Linked DNA regions of Macaca fascicularis. The protein of the gene in region 3 interacts with the protein of the main gene of each other region in a biochemical or structural test. Links are inferred from orthologs where the notes say so. Each region holds a gene or a part of one and is shown on either strand. Other genes may lie near its edges.

Region 1 (5,004 bases), on a different chromosome or scaffold from region 3:
TCAACAACTCTTTCTTTTACCTCTTAAAATGCTGGTGAAGGCTGGGCGTCATGACTCACACCTGTAATCTCAGCACTTTGGGAGGCTGAGGTGGGTGAATCACCTGAGGTCAGGAGTTTGAAACCAGCCTGGCCAACATGGTGAAACCCCATCTCTACTAAAAATACAAAAATTAGTCAGGCGTGGTGGTACACACCTGTGGTCCCAACTACTTGGGAGATTGAGGCAGGAGAATTGCTTGAACCCGGAAGGTGGAGGTTGCAGTGAACTGAGATCATCGGCCTCCCGGGTAGCTGGGATTACAGGGGCCTGCTACCACGCCTTTGGTATTTTTAGTAGAGACGGGGGTTTTGCCATGTTGCCTAGGCTGGTCTCGAACTACTGACCTCAGGAGATGCACCTGCCTCCACCTCCCAAAGTGCTGGGATTACAGGCGTGAGCCACCGCGCCCGGTGGGTTTTCCAGCTTTCATTCTTCTGGGGCACTTGCATTGCACCCAGGGTTCCCCAGAATTTATCCTACCCCACACCCTTTTCGTATTTCCTATGGCTCTGTCCCCAACGAGCTATGGTGATCTCAGTCTCATGACCTCAGTTCTTTCTTCTGGCGACCTCCATCTCATCTGGTTCAGATCACTCTTCATCCAACTTTCTATTACACAGCGCCCCCTAGACGTTCAATTCAGCATGACTAAACCCAAACCCTGATTTCCCAAACCCTCTTCGCATTTCTCGCTCACTGCAGGGACAGAATCCTAGGCATCACCCCGACTGCTTTCTCAGGACTCCCTGCCAGTCGGTCCCTAAGTTCTGCCAGCAGCGCCTGCGTGGGGCCTCTTGTACCGTGTTCTCCTCTCCATCCTTGTTGCCGAGCTGCCTCAACACCAGTGGGCCCCCTGCCTTCAGAAGTTCCCATTTCCCTCCCCTATGTCTTTCCTTGCTTCCTTCCTTTCCATCTCTCTAGCAGCTATTGACATGGGAAAATGTAGATTCTCTCTGGCCTCCACGCCAGCCAGTTTCATGACTGCTGCCCACTGTAATTCATGAATTCCTTTTCTCTATCTTGAAGTGTGTGTGTGTGTGTGTGTGTGTGTGTGTGTGTGTGTGTTTAGGCGTTTATTCAAACCTTTTGTGTTTGAAACACAAAACACTACTTCCTAGAATCACTAGGAAGTAGCTGAGTTAGCAGTTTATTTTAATATGTAACATAATAAGGTGACAAAGCCCATTTTAATAGCACCAGCCATTAACCCAGTTTTCTCAATGTTCATATGGACGTAAATAATGACACAAGGAAAACACTTTTGAAGGTAGTTATGGGAAAAGCTGACATTAGATGGCTGCAGAACCCAACCAACTTAGGACCTGAAAATGAAAGCGTTAAGATAATAAAGAAGCTTCAAACGACGAAAGGTAAGGAAAATCAGAAAATGCTCATAAAGTAAAATTGTGAACAGCCCCACCGAGCCAGCCAGGAGTCGAACCTGGAATCTTCTGATCCGTAGTCAGACGCGTTATCCATTGCGCCACTGGCCCTGAGACGAAAGTGATTTTCTCCGTGATCCTCCTTCAAGGTTGTACTGCAGGGTTTCATGGGAGGTGTAGTCTCATAGCGGAGTTCTGCAGATACACTAAGCATTCTGGGAGATTGAAGTTCGTCTGAAACCAGACTCTGAGATTGGTGGATCTTCAGGAGCCTCGCCGTACGCCACTGCGCAGCCCGCGGATTGGCGGGAAAAGCCACTCCCCATCCCTCCCGTTCGGGAGCTGTGGCAGACGCTCTGGTTGTTAAGGCGACTCGTCCCGCCTCCTGGGTCTCTAGTTTGGCTTTGTGATTGGCTACTAGTATCAAGGAATCCCGGCATGGACAGCGCGAGGAAAAAGATGGCGGCGATGGCGGTCGGGGGTGCTGGTGGGAGCCGCGTGTCCAGCGGGAGGGACCTGAATTGCGTCCCCGAAATAGCTGACACACTAGGGGCTGTGGCCAAGCAGGGGTGAGGGCCGGACCTCCACGAGCGGAATGCGGGGTCTGAACTCGGGGACGGAGAAGGGCAGACTAGTCATCCCGGAGAAACTGGGGTGAGGGGGTCGGCTAAGATGAGAAGGGGAGAGACTATTACTCTTTGGAGGGGAGAAGCCTCGGACCCAGTAACGTGAGGAAGAGAACTTGTGGGGGGCCTGTGGTCACTGAGTCCCAAAGTTGGGAGAGTTGTTGAGTAAACTCTAAAGGGCTCTGGAGGTCGCGATTATTGTCTGGGAGTGGGAGGAGGTGTTAGGGGGCAAGGGAGAGAAGAGGCTAATCTTGACAGGGGAGGCACGGGCAGAACTGGGGCAAATCTGGATGTGATGGTCTTCGAAACATAGTGACACCTGAGGAGAAAAAAATTCTACTTGTGGATTTCCATCGTTTTCTCCTTACTCATATTTCCCATGGCTGTGTTTTGGGGAGAAACTGAGGCACAGTACAGCAGAGATATCCCCCAAGGTGGTCTGAACTCAGCAGCCTAGTAGGGTGAACTGATGGCAGCTGAAAGGGCTGTGCAAAATCAAAATAGCCTAAATCCAGTTGCTTGGCTTTCTGGCACTGCTGCTCTCTTTACATGATTCTGGGTCTGTCGCGGTTGTAGGTTTGATTTCCTCTGCATGCCTGTCTTCCATCCGCGTTTCAAGAGGGAGTTCATTCAGGAACCTGCTAAGAATCGGCCCGGCCCCCAGACACGATCAGACCTACTGCTGTCAGGAAGGGGTAGGGACCATCCCATATGCCCCTTAATTATTAGAGGCAATAACAACTTCTGCTTTATCGGGGCCCCGATTCTTCTCCTTTTCTGACTTGGATATATTTGTTAGTCCCTGGGATATAGATAACTTGTTTTCTCCTTGCTTCTCTATTCTGCATCAGGCTATCCCATGTCTATGTAGAAAAAACCTTTGTCTCTCATTTCTACTCTTGATTCCCAAAACTAAAAATTGAACAAGTAAAGTGCTGAACCTTATTCAGTATTTGTCTCTCTTGGGTGGGGGAGTGCAGACTGGAATACGCTAATTGTGGGAAAGCTTTCTCCATGGATTCGTCCAGACTCAAAAGTGGAGAAGATTCGCAGGAACTCCGAGGCGGTAAGACTCTTTGACTTCTATGCTGGATCTTTCTAACCAAGCTGGGTAGGGAGAGTGGTCCCCTCCCACCCCCAATAACTTGGTAAATCAACTGATACAATGAAATTAAAGCTATTAGGCTGGACCCCATGGTGCACACCTATGATCCTATCACTTTGGGAGGCTGAGGTTGTAGGATCACTGGAGCTCAGGAGTTTGAGACCAGCCTGGGCAGCATAGTGAAACCCCATCTCTATAAAATATACAAAAATTAGCCAGGCATGGTGGCACATTCCTGTGGTCCCAGCTACTCAGGAGGCTGAGGTGGGAGGATCAGTTGAGCTTGGGAAGGTTGAGGCTGCAGATGAGTGGAGATTGTGCCACTGTACTCCAGCCTGGGTGACAGAGTGAGACTTTGTCTCAAAAAAAAAAAAAAAAAAGAAAAGAAAAGAAAAGAAAGCTATTTGCTTGTTAGCTCAACCTTTTCCTCTTCATCTCCATTCCAGGCCATGTTACAGGAGCTGAATTTTGGTGCATATTTGGGTCTTCCAGCTTTCCTGCTGCCCCTTAATCAGGAAGATAACACCAACCTGGCCAGAGTTTTGACCAACCACATCCACACTGGCCATCACTCTTCTATGGTATAGCTGAGGGGCTCCTTTCCTGCTGCATATCATAGTAGTCAGATTGTGCTAAGTACCTTCTTGTGCCTAGCCATTCAGTGAAGGGTGTGTTTGGCAGAATTGAAGTATCAGTATTGCCGGGCACAGTGGCTCATGCCTGTAATCCCAGCACTTTGGGAGGCTGAGGTGGGCAGATCGCTGAGCTCAGAAGTTCGAGACCAGCTTGGGAAGCCTGGTGAAACCCTGTCTCTACAAAAACCAAAACCAAAACAAAAAAACACAGATTAGCTAGGTGTGGTGTCACACGCCTGTAGTCCCAGCTACTTGGGAAGCTGAGGTGGGAGAATGACTTGAACCTGTGAGACGGAGGTTGCAGTTAGCTGAGATTGCACCACTGCACTCCAGCCTGGGTGACAGAGCCAGACCTTGTCTCAAAAAAAAGGTCAATATTGCGCACCTCTCCATCTAAAAGTGGTATGAAGAGAGTTTCAAAACATGCAAATGTAATTATTTCGGAAACTTACGTAAGATAAGGCAGATATTTACATAAGGATCTATACATAAGGTACATGTTCACTTACAAAATCACAAATTGGGAAAAGCATATAAAGGGATTAGCGAGGTCTGAATGAAGTTTTTGATTGAGGGAAACTTTCTGGACCGAGTGAGTTCAAAAGGGTGTTCTAAAAGGGTGACTGTTCATGTGCAGTTCTGGATGCGGGTACCCTTGGTGGCACCAGAGGACCTGAGAGATGATATAATTGAGAATGCACCAACTACACACACAGAGGAGTACAGTGGGGAGGAGAAAACATGGATGTGGTATGTCTCCCTTTGCTGCTGTGATAGGGTGAGGGGAAGTACAGGGTGAAACCTATAGGGAGGTCTCCTTGAGCTATGGTGATTGGTCGGCCGTATCTAGTTGACTGTACTTTTCTGTATTTGACTCTGAACAGGTGGCACAACTTCCGGACTTTGTGTGACTATAGTAAGAGGATTGCAGTGGGTGAGTCCATGAGAATCCTGGGTTGGGTGTTGCTTCTCTGACCTCCTGTGAATAAGATTCAGGAATTTTGTATATAGTATACAATTTTACTACTTACCCTCTGTCTCAGACTGCCTTTCTCTTAAAGAGGTAAACAGATTTTTCACAAAGGAGCAAGGAAGGGTTTCTTGCCTGGCAGTGGTTGACAGTTTTTCTTTGTCTCATGTAGCTCTTGAAATTGGGGCTGACCTCCCATCTAATCATGTCATTGATCGCTGGCTTGGGGAGCCCATCAAAGCAG
Region 2 (5,226 bases), on a different chromosome or scaffold from region 3:
CGTAACAGCTTTAGCCTTCTGAACACAAAGTCACAGCCAGATGTTGCTGCCTGGAGCCAAGGGGCTGCCTGGAAGGCCCTGGTCTGACCTCAGTTAGTGGTTGTCACTAAGGAAGGCAGGTAGTGTGCTAGCCTTGAATACTTAACCCATCTCAGACTCAGTCTGGTCAGCTGAAAAAGTGCAAATCACAGTGGGCACCTACTTCACTGGGTCGTTATCAGGATTAATGAGGCACTGCATGTAAACAACTGCGCACAGCGCCTGCCTGCCTCATAGAAAGGTCCCTGTGAATGTAAGCCTTTCCTCCTCTGAGGCTCAGGAAAGGCAAGTATCTTGTCTCAGATCACAGGGCTAGACAACTGGAGGAGGAGGGATGTAAATCCCCCCCCACTCCACACAGCAAACACAAAAGAGAACACTCCCTGGGAGTGACACCTGAAGGTCAGGGTCCCACATGTTGTTGACCTCTCCCACAGTTGGCACTTCACTTGAGAGTTTACTAGCTAGCACTCCGTTCCTCACCAACCCTGCGCCTTCAGCAGGACAGGAATCACGTCTTCCCCCTCCCCTACCTCTTGGGCAAGCAAACTAACTGCCAAGACACTGAAAACCAGTCCGAGTCTCCGCCCCAAAGGGGCTCAGGCTACCGCGTGGCAGAGGGAACCAGAGGGGGAAGAACAGGAGCAAGACAAAACGCCGACTCTGGGAGGCCAGAGCACCGGCCCTTTCATTACTCGGTGCTCTCGGCCAGTTTCCTGCCCTTCCCAGCCTCAGTCCTCCACGGTTCCCCAAGGCACGAGAGCTCCCAAGGCGGCTCCAGTAGGACTTTTCGCTTCTGGGGAAGGTGGCGCCCCTTCTACCCGGACCCTCCCACCATGCGGACAAGGGTCGCAATCCTGCCAGTGTCAGGAAACCCCCACTGACTGGAGCGAGGCGGGTGTGGGGGTGAGGCGGGAGTCGGCCCAAGGTCGCGCGGCTGGACCCTGCCCCGCGCTAGGGCGGGGTCCCCTTCGTTCCTAGGGTGAAGACTGGGCCCACAGAGAGGCACTGACCGGGCTCGAGCGGCGGCCCCGCTGCCTCCGCCTCCGTCCTCATGACCCGGGCGGCGCGGGGCGCCCATGGCCCCGGCCCAGAGCGGGCTACAGCTTCCGCTTCGGCTGGGGCGGTAGGGCGGTCGGTGCGTGTCGAGTTCCTTCTCCGCCACCGCCGCCGCTGCGGAGGGGAGAACCGGAGGCGGTGGCTGGGCCGCCCCAAGCCCCGCCCCAGCCCTTCCAGGTCTCGAATCTGGAGGCCCCGCCCTTTCTCTAAGCCCCGCCCCAAACTTTGATCCTAGAGGCCCCCAGCCTCCCGATTTAAATCTGCCCCGGCCATTCACCGCCTCAGCGTCGAGTGACCCAGCCCTCTCGTCCAATCCTCGCGCAGCCGCGAAGCCCAACAAGACGCGGACCCGGAAGCTCCGCCCCTTTCCTTGAGCCCCGCCCCAAAGCCCGTGCATTTCGTGAACAGAGGCTCCTCCCTTCAGCAAGCCCCGCCTCTGCCGGGGCCCGCTCCTTTGCCAGTCTTAGCTGTAAACCCTGGTCCGGCCCAGTGTATTCCGGAGGCTCCAAACAACTCTCCTTAAACTGCCTTTAGGGATGACCCTGAGCCGGCCTCCTCTCTACTCTATACCTAACTTTATCCGTACGAGATACGTAGCCTCACTCAGGGCGCCCCTTACCTGGCGGTGCTGGGATCAAAAAATTAAATTGTGAGGGGAAGTCCTGGCCCTTGGCCCAACCTCCTGCTGCCCCCGGTCTGAGGGCCCAGGCCCCGAGTCTCCGCCTTGCCGTCCAGCCTGTCCTTGGTGTGGGGCGCTTGGAAGTGCAAGCACCCTCTCTGGCTCTTTGCCGGCCCCAAGGGTCGTTGTTTGCGGCGGTCCCCGGGCCCAGTCTTCGGCCCTCTTTTCCGGTGCCGGAACTATCGTACTGGTGCCTTAGTTTCCCAGCCGGCACGCGGGGTGAGGAGGAAGCGGAGGCGACACCGCTCTCACCACTGGGGAAAGGAAGGAGGCGGGCCCTGCGCGCAGCATTTTGGGAACGAGTGGAATTCTGGGAGCTGGGCCCGCCATTCTCTTGATTCACGCCTTCGCCGTAGCGGCTTTCGCCGTGCACCGAAGAGAAGGAAAAGTAGGCCAGAACCGGTGAGGCTGGGGACGGGCGAGGGGAGGTCGAGGTGCCTGTGAGGGGCCGGGGGCTGGAGAAAGACTCAATGCATGAACTCTGCGGGATTCGGGGAGGGAAGAAAGCGGGAAGTTTGGACCACCCAAACATCAGCGTCGCCTCACTAGCGCCTGGAAGTAAGTTCATTAGCTGCTCCCTCAATGTGCATGCTTCTTACATTCTGTATCTCTCCAGGTGAGTGTTTTTCAAAGTTTCCAGGCAGTAATCTTGAAGTTATTTCCTATGAGTTTTTTGAATCTTGAAGTCAAATCCTATGAGGGTTTTTTTTTTTTTTTTTTTTAAAGTAGAGACGGTTTCACCATGTTACCCTGGCTGGTCTCGAACTCCTGGGCTCAAGGGATCCACCGGCTTCGTCCTTCAAAAGTGTTGGGACTACGGGCGTGAGCCATCGCGCCCAGCCGGTCATTTTTTAAAAAGTTCTTTGCATGTCTGCCCCCAGCTCCCTTTCAGGCAGTGGTCCCGTCATGCTTTCCACACTGTTGCAGCAGTTTTAACTGTTGCAGAAATTTTAACAAGTTTCTCTGCTTCTAAACCTTACGTTAGATCCATTTTGTAAATAAATGCTGCTACCTTTTCATTGTGTCATTCTTTACCTATAATTTTGCAGTGGTTCCCCACTATCTTCAGCATAAAATCTAGGCTCCTAAGGCTGAAAGCCAGGGATCCTCACCAAAGGAGCCTGTCTTTTCAACCTCATGTTCTCCTGTCTTAGGTGCACTTAGGTTCCAACTTTGAGTCGTCGCTCATGTCAATAAAAAGTTCACTACTTGATGCTTTTAATTAGGTCAAGTCAGGTGCTTTCCCTTATTTTCCTCCATGACGGGCATTTCCTGCATATAGCACGTTGTCACTTCGATATTTTCTCAATATCCTTGATGGTAAAGTAAGGGAAGGGTTAAAGAGCTGCATTAAAAGTACAGTCTCCTCTCCTAGATATGCATGGTCCTTAGGTCTGTATCTGCTCCTTCCGTAGGGTAGCCACCAGCTACATGTAGCTGTTGAGCACTTGGAATATGGCCACTGGGATTGAGGGACTGGGTTTTTTATTTTAATTCTATTGTGTTTTAGTTAAGTTTAATTTAAATAGCTACATGTGGACATGAGCTACTGTATTGGACAGCTCAGGCCTGTGTTATGATTCTCAAAATATAATAATCTACAATTAAGGGTTGACAAATAACAGTGCAACAGATTAACATTCCAATCCCCCTCCCCTACACACACAGTATTCGCTAATGGTCCTTTAGCTGAAGATTAAGGGACATAGGGTAGCAGGGACACATGGTCGATGGGAGATGCTCTCTTTTCATTCCTATTTTTACTTCTGTCCACCCCACCATTCCTCCTCACCCGACATCTTGCACATATTTGCCAGATAGTTTCCTCCAAGCCAGGAGCTGAGCTTTCTTTTTTCTTTTTCTTTGATAGAAAATGCAGCTTTGGCGTTTTTGCTAAGTTTTATGGAGTGCCAGGCCTTGAAGGAGGCATGACGTGTGCCGCATGCCTTCTCAGACTCTGAAAGATGAACTGACTGTTGTCTCTTTCACTGTAGAGCTCTCTTCCTGCCAAGATGTCTATTGGTGTGCCAATTAAAGTGCTGCACGAGGCCGAGGGCCACATTGTGACATGTGAGACGAACACCGGTGAGGTATATCGGGGGAAGCTCATTGAAGCAGAGGACAACATGAACTGCCAGGTATTCTGCTTTGCATGTGAGGCTGTGTGGGAGGAATGGCCCTGTGTCTTGAAGGACAGAAAGGTGTGGGTTGGGGGTCTTCTGTAAATTGTTCTCATTCAGCAATGATTTCCTGAGTGCCTAACACATACCAGTCAGGTGCTGTTATAGGCTCTGGGGATGTGGGCATGAACAAAACACATAGTCTTGAGGCAGAAAAGCCATTTGGAGATTTGGAATATTTTACTTCGCCTTTTTTGTTTTTTCCATCCCCAAATTTGGGGACCTGTTTGGGAGAAGTTCCTTCAGTAGAATCCTTCAGGTTCAGAGCCATTATCCATTTGCCTCCACTTGCTTTGCAGTTAGGAGAATCTTCTCACATACTGTGTTTGTTTCCCTTTTCTCTTGGAGGAGGAGTCTCATTTGATTATTGCAACTACCTTGTGAGGTAAGCAGGTTTGGTGGTAGTCTTGTCATCCATAAAATAGGGAGAATGAGATTAAAGGACTCATCACTCTGATAGTAAATAATGGAGTAGTTTCTTGATACGGTGTCCTTCTCATGGCGCAGCTTTGCCTTTTGCATAGTCATCTGAATTTTTATAGCATTGTTTTTCAGTTGTATCTTCACACTTTCTTTGTTCTTTAAACCATTGGTTAAGAACTTGGACTTGGGAGTCAGAGAGAGATGTGGGTTTGATTCCTAATTATATGACCTTAGATGTATTAATCACTCAGTTTTCTCATCTGTAAAACGGGAGTGTTATTATTTTGGGTTCTTTGATGTAGATGCCAAGACAGAATTATGCAAGGTATTTATTGGGGGAAATGACAATAAAGGATAAAGGAACAAGGAAACAGTAGTAGGCAGGGAAATTTTCAGTCCGTGATGCTGGTCTGACTGGTGAAACGAGAGGGGAAAGAAGGAGGATTGAGCAGGAAGAACCTTAGACTACAGTGTAGTTTTGAGGAAGTCTCAGCAAGGCAGTGATTGCTCATTAGAAGAGTCTAACATGGGGCAGAAATGGGCAGACTGGCACCCCTGGTGTGTTCATTCCATTGGCTGGCAGCCTGGGGAGACAGCCTCTCTCCCCAAGTTGAATGCCATGGTGGACTGCAAAGATGGAGATTGTCGGCTGCCTTCACTCCTCATAGCCTGTTTTCTTTTGGAGGGAGATCTGAGCAGCACACCCTTAAGACTGCCACAGGGATAATATCCACACCCCCAGGACTTTTACAAAGATCAGATGAGCTATATGTGTGCAATAGCTGCTCGGTGCCTCACATACTGTAAGTGTTCAACGTATGGTGTTTACTGCTTTTTTCCAGATGA
Region 3 (5,228 bases):
CAAAGTGCTGGGATTACAGGCGTGAACCACTTCGCCCGGTGTATTACTCTTTCTCTATTGCAATTCCCCTGTCTTGATAAATCGACTCTGTCTAAGCAGCAGGCACGGTGAACCCATTGGGCAGTTACAACAGGGTTGTAACAGGGTTGCTGCTGTAATGGCCCAGTGGGTTCACCTTGCCTGTTGCCTAGACAGAGCTGATTTATCAAGATGGAAATTGTCATAGAAAAACAGTAATTCACGCAGGGCCGCTGTGCAGGAGACTAGAGTTTTTGTTGTTGTTGTTGTTTTGAGACGGAGTCTCGCTATGTCGCCCAGGCTGGAGTGCAGTGGCACGATCTTGGCTCACTGCAAGCTCCGCCTCTCGGGTTCACCCCATTCTCCCGCTTCAACCTTCCGCGTAGCTGGGACTACAGGCGCCTGCCACCACGCCCGGCTAATTTTGTTTTTGTATTTTTAGTAGAGACGGGGTTTCACTGTATTAGCCAGGCTGGTCTCGATCTCCTGACCTGGTGATCTGCCAGCCTCGGCCTCCCACAGTGCTGGGATTACAAGCATGAGCCACTGCTCCCAGCCTAGAGTTTTATTTTTACTCAAATCAGTTTTCCAGAGCATTCAGGGATCAAAGTTTTCTTTTTTTCTTTTCTTTTCTTTCTTTTTTTTTTTTTTTGAGACAGTCTCGCTCTGTTGCCCAGGCTGGAGTGCAGTAGCGCGATCTCGGCTCACTGCAAGCTCCGCCTCCCGGGTTCACACCATTCTCCTGCCTCAGCCTCCCGAGAGTAGCTGGAACTACAGGCGCCTGCCACCACACCCGGCTAATTTTTTGTATTTTTAGTAGAGACGGGGTTTCACCTTGTTAGCCAGAATGGTCTGGATCTCCTGACCTCGTGATCCGCCCGTCTCAGCCTCCCAAAGTGTTGGGATTACAGGCGTGAGCCACCGTGCCCGGCCAGGGATCAAAGTTTTTAAGGATAATTTGGAAGGTTGGGGAAGGCCAGTGACTGAAGAGTGTTGATTGGTTGGGTGGGGGATGAAATCACAGGGAGTTGAAGCTATCCTCTTGCCCTGAGTCAGTTCCTGGGTTGCGGGGGAGGGGGCACAAGATCACATAGCCAGTTTATGCATCTGGTGGTGCCAGCTGATCCATCAAGTGTAGGGTCTGCAACATATCTTAAGCACCTATCTTAAGTGCAGTTTAGGGAGGGTCAGAATCTTGTGGCCTCCAGCTGTAATTTCTAAATTACAAAATTTCTAATCTTTGGCTGATTTGTTAGTCCTACAAAGGCAGTCCAGCCCCCAGGCAAGAAGGAAGTTTGTTTTGGAAAAAGGCTGTCATCATCTTTGTTTTAAAACTTCAAACTGTAAACTAAGTTCCTCCCAAAGGTAGTTCAGCCTATACGAGGAATGAACAAGGACAGCTTGGAGGTTAGAAACAACATGGATTTGGGTAGGTCAGATTGCTTTCAGTGTCTCAGTTACAATTTTGCAATGGTGATTTCACTGTGACAATCTTGAGGGACTTCCCACAGAACCCTCAGTTCTTGAAGCCCAAAGCCTCAGAAATGGCGAGGAAGAACGAGAGGGGTGTTAAACTCCACACGGTCTTAGCCGACCTCCGACGCTTTTCCTAGAATGTCTCATCTCTATGGTCGACGGCGTTCAGATTCCGGGGCAGACTAAGTTGTTCTTCCGGGGTGAGTGCCTCTTCCAGGGCGAGCGGTGTGGTGCACGCATTGCTGTGTTCTAACTCCCTCAGGGGCTGTGTTGTCGCACTTTCTGCTGCTATGAGCTTCCTCAAAAGTTTCCCGCCGCCTGGGCCGGCGGAGGGGCTCCTGCGGCAACAACCAGACACCGAGGCTGTGCTGAACGGGAAGGGCCTCGGCACTGGTACCCTTTACATCGCTGAGAGGTAGGGTTCCCGGTCCCCAGCGCCGGCCTCCTGCGTGCCACCCTCCTCCTTGCTGGAGCAGGCGGTGCGAAGGAGCCGGGCAAGGGGCGGCCTGGAGGGCTGCTGGGAGCGGGGGCGCGTGTCCGGGACGCCTCAGGGATACCTGTACCGGCTGGAAGGCTCGATTTTTCTAGCACTCTTCCCGAGTCTTCCATTCTCTATTTTCTCGGGCCGGAATTTCCCCTCATGGATTGTGCTTTTGTTTTTTTGTTTTGTTTTTTTAAACTCGCCTTTTACTGGAGGTCTGGCGCGTGCGTTGCCCTTAACGCACGGTCTCGTTTTAAGAGTCTGAAGTGTGCCTGTCTTTCCGGATGAACAGATGCAGGAGATGTTCCCCTCTGCAGGATACGTAGTTTCAGAGCCGAGTGTGGAGGACTTTGAAAGTTTGGTTACACAATATAGATTTTTTCTGTAGGAATAGTAAGGAGAGGAATATCCTTAACTCGACACAGACAGGGGTCATATGCAGAGGTACCAGACTCCCGTTTTGGGGTCCTGGAAGGAGTTGCCCTTTTATTTGGCCACCTGGAGCACTTTGGTATTTTCACAGTCAGATAGATCTACCTTAAATATTGTGGTTGTAGAACCGAGGTCCCTGTTTCCTTGACATTTAGTTCTCTTTATTTTGAAGCCTGTAATGACACATTTAATCTTTCCTGCCCTTCAGATATGTGTTGCTTCCCCTTTTGCTCCATCACTTGTCGACAGCCAGAGAAAATTCTCTAAGAACTCATGTGATTACTTTGGAACCACCTGTAAAATCCGGGATAATCTCCCTATGTTGCTGTCCACTGGTAACCTTAATTAGGTTTGCGAAGTCCCTTTTGCTGTGTAATATAACATATTCACACGCATGACACCAGAAACTGAAGGTCGTGGGGGCCAAAATTTTGCCTACCACAGAATCCAGAGCACAAAAACTGTAAAGAACTGTTGCTTTAAAGGGAAATTTAGACATTGAACAAGGCTTAGGCTTCAGGCCAGTCACTGAGATAGGACATATGGGTGGTAGGAAAAGCAAGATTGAGGTGAGAGGCAGATAATGAGTTTGGTCAGGACATGTGTGGAGTAGTTGTACATACGAGTGTGTGTTGGGCCGGGCGTGGTGGCTCACACCTGTAATCCCAGCACTTTGGGAAGCTGAGGCAGGCGGATCGCCCCAGAAGTTCGAGATTAGCCTGGGTAACATGGCGAAACCCAGTCTCTACAAAAAATACAAAAGTTAGCCAGGCATGGTGGCGGCCTGTAGTCCTAGCTACTCAGGAAACTGAGATGGGAGGATCACCTGAGTCCAGAAGGTCGAGGCACGGTGAGCCGTGATTGTGCCCCTGCACTCCAGCCTAAGTGACAGAGTGAGACCTTGTCTCAAAAAAAAAAAAAAAAAAAAAGAGTGTGTGTCTTGGGAAAGTGGTATTAAAGATAGATGTTTGGAAGTCGTTGAAGTATTAGTGTATACTCATGGAAATGGATTAACTATCTCAGAAGAGAAGAGGACCAAGTGTAGAACCCTAGGGACACACCTTTGTGTGGGTCATAGAAGAAGAGACTCGAGAAAGGAGGAAGGAGCAGTCAAAACAAAATATGAAGAGCGTATATTGAGTATTGACAAGGAAATCTTTGATATTTGGGGAAAGCAGTTTCTTTGAAGTGATGGAAGATGGAGCACAGATACATTCCTAGTTCCCAGGCATTCCTTTTTTATTCATGACATTTCTGTATGTTGACACTTCGTTCAATATTATAACTCCTTTTGAGGGACAGTCCTGTATTGGTTTTTGCATTTTGAAAAATTTCAAACCTACGGTCCGGTGCGGTGGCTCACGCCTGTAATTCCAGCACTTTGGGAGGCGGAGGCGGGCAGATCACCTGAGGACAGGAGTTCAAGACCAGCCTGGCCAACATGGTGAAACCTCATCTCTACTAAAATACAAAAATTAGCTGGGTGTGGTGGCAGGCATCTGTAATCTCAGCTACTTGGGAGGCTGAGACGGAAGAATTGCTTGAACCCGAGAGGCGGAGGTTGTAGTGAGCCGAGATCATGCCATTGCACTCCAGCCTGGGTGACAGAGACTGCCTCAAAAAAAAAAAAGAAAAATTTCAAACCTAAAGAAAAGTTGTAAGTGTTATTACTACCCATACACCCTTCACAAAGATTTATTAGTTAACATTTTGCCATGTTTGTCTGTTTTTCTTTTTTTTCTGAGCCATTTGAGAATTGCAGACATGTTTTCTACTTCCTGTTCAGAAGAACAGGGACATTATCTTGTATAACCACAATACAATTGTCACACCAAGGAAGTATAACTCTTTTTAAGTTCTTACCAGTTTTTTAAAAATTCTTAGCCTGGACAAGGTGGCTCACACCTGTAAATCCCTGCTCTTTGGAAGGCCAAGGTGAGCAGATCGCTTGAGCCCAGGAGTTGTTGACCAGCCTGGGCAACATGACAAAACCCTGTCTCTACAAAGAATACAAAATTGCAAAAATTAGCCGGTCATGGTTGCATGTACCTGTAGTCGCAGCTACTATGGGGGGCTGAGGTGGGAGGATTACTTAAGCCTGGGAAGTTGAGGCTACAGTGAGCTGTGATCATGCCACTACATTCCAGCCTGGGTGACACAGTGAAACCTTGTCTCTTAAAAAAATTAAAAATTATTTGTTTCAGCTTTTCACAAACAAATCTCTTATGTTTCTTCTTTAAGATTATTTTTTATTTATTTATTTATTTTTTTTGAGACAGAGCCTCGCTCTGTTGCCCAGGCTGGAGTGCAGTGGTGCGATTTTGGCTCACTGCAACCTCCACCTCCTGGGTTCAAGTGATTCTCCTGCCTCAGCCTCCCGAGTAGCTGGGATTACAGACGTGCTCCACCACGCCCAGCCAATTTTTGTATTTTTAGTAGAGACGGGGTTTCACCATGTTGGTCAAGCTGGTCTCGAACTCCTGACCTCATGATCCATCCGCCTCGGCCTCCCAAAGTGCTGGAATTACAGGCATGAGCCACTGCGGCAGGCCAAGATCATTTTTTGTGTGTGAAACATAAATACAAAAAAAAGAGTATAAATACACACACATACTGTATACATGTATATACAGTCCAGCAGTTCTTCCTCTGAGGCATGGAGGGAGAATGCCCAGAGATAACAAAGCTGGAGAAGAAGACAGTCATGTTCATGAGTTTGGCTTATAGCCTTTAGGCTTTGGTGAAACTATTTAGTTTGAGGCAGAGAGGGACAGCAACAGATTAGGTTTTGGCTAGACTTGGTTTTAGTCTCTCAGATTTG

What was found.
Region 1: the proteins of CLNS1A (region 3) and PRMT5 form a complex in vitro, tested with the Homo sapiens proteins (5 studies listed by BioGRID and IntAct, with this or other methods). The link is inferred for Macaca fascicularis from reciprocal best matches to the Homo sapiens genes CLNS1A and PRMT5.
Region 2: the proteins of CLNS1A (region 3) and SNRPD3 form a complex in vitro, tested with the Homo sapiens proteins (2 studies listed by BioGRID). The link is inferred for Macaca fascicularis from reciprocal best matches to the Homo sapiens genes CLNS1A and SNRPD3.

The regions. Positions count from the first base shown.
Region 1 is NC_088381.1:90,673,539-90,678,542, reverse strand, and holds the start of PRMT5 (protein arginine N-methyltransferase 5), read left to right. Parts: upstream 1-1,868; 5' UTR 1,869-1,883; coding exon 1,884-1,993; exon of another isoform or gene 1,994-2,019; coding exon of another isoform or gene 2,020-2,078; intron 2,079-2,626; coding exon 2,627-2,745; intron 2,746-3,030; coding exon 3,031-3,116; intron 3,117-3,601; coding exon 3,602-3,736; intron 3,737-4,427; coding exon 4,428-4,540; intron 4,541-4,674; coding exon 4,675-4,724; intron 4,725-4,932; coding exon 4,933-5,004. UniProt on the Homo sapiens protein: Arginine methyltransferase that can both catalyze the formation of omega-N monomethylarginine (MMA) and symmetrical dimethylarginine (sDMA), with a preference for the formation of MMA.
Region 2 is NC_088384.1:28,879,393-28,884,618, reverse strand, and holds the start of SNRPD3 (small nuclear ribonucleoprotein Sm D3), read left to right. Parts: upstream 1-2,090; 5' UTR 2,091-2,179; intron 2,180-3,771; 5' UTR 3,772-3,789; coding exon 3,790-3,915; intron 3,916-5,226. Other genes in the region: protein GUCD1, read right to left, coding at 1,053-1,095. UniProt on the Homo sapiens protein: Plays a role in pre-mRNA splicing as a core component of the spliceosomal U1, U2, U4 and U5 small nuclear ribonucleoproteins (snRNPs), the building blocks of the spliceosome.
Region 3 is NC_088388.1:76,532,599-76,537,826, reverse strand, and holds the start of CLNS1A (methylosome subunit pICln), read left to right. Parts: upstream 1-1,691; 5' UTR 1,692-1,784; coding exon 1,785-1,909; intron 1,910-5,228. UniProt on the Homo sapiens protein: Involved in both the assembly of spliceosomal snRNPs and the methylation of Sm proteins.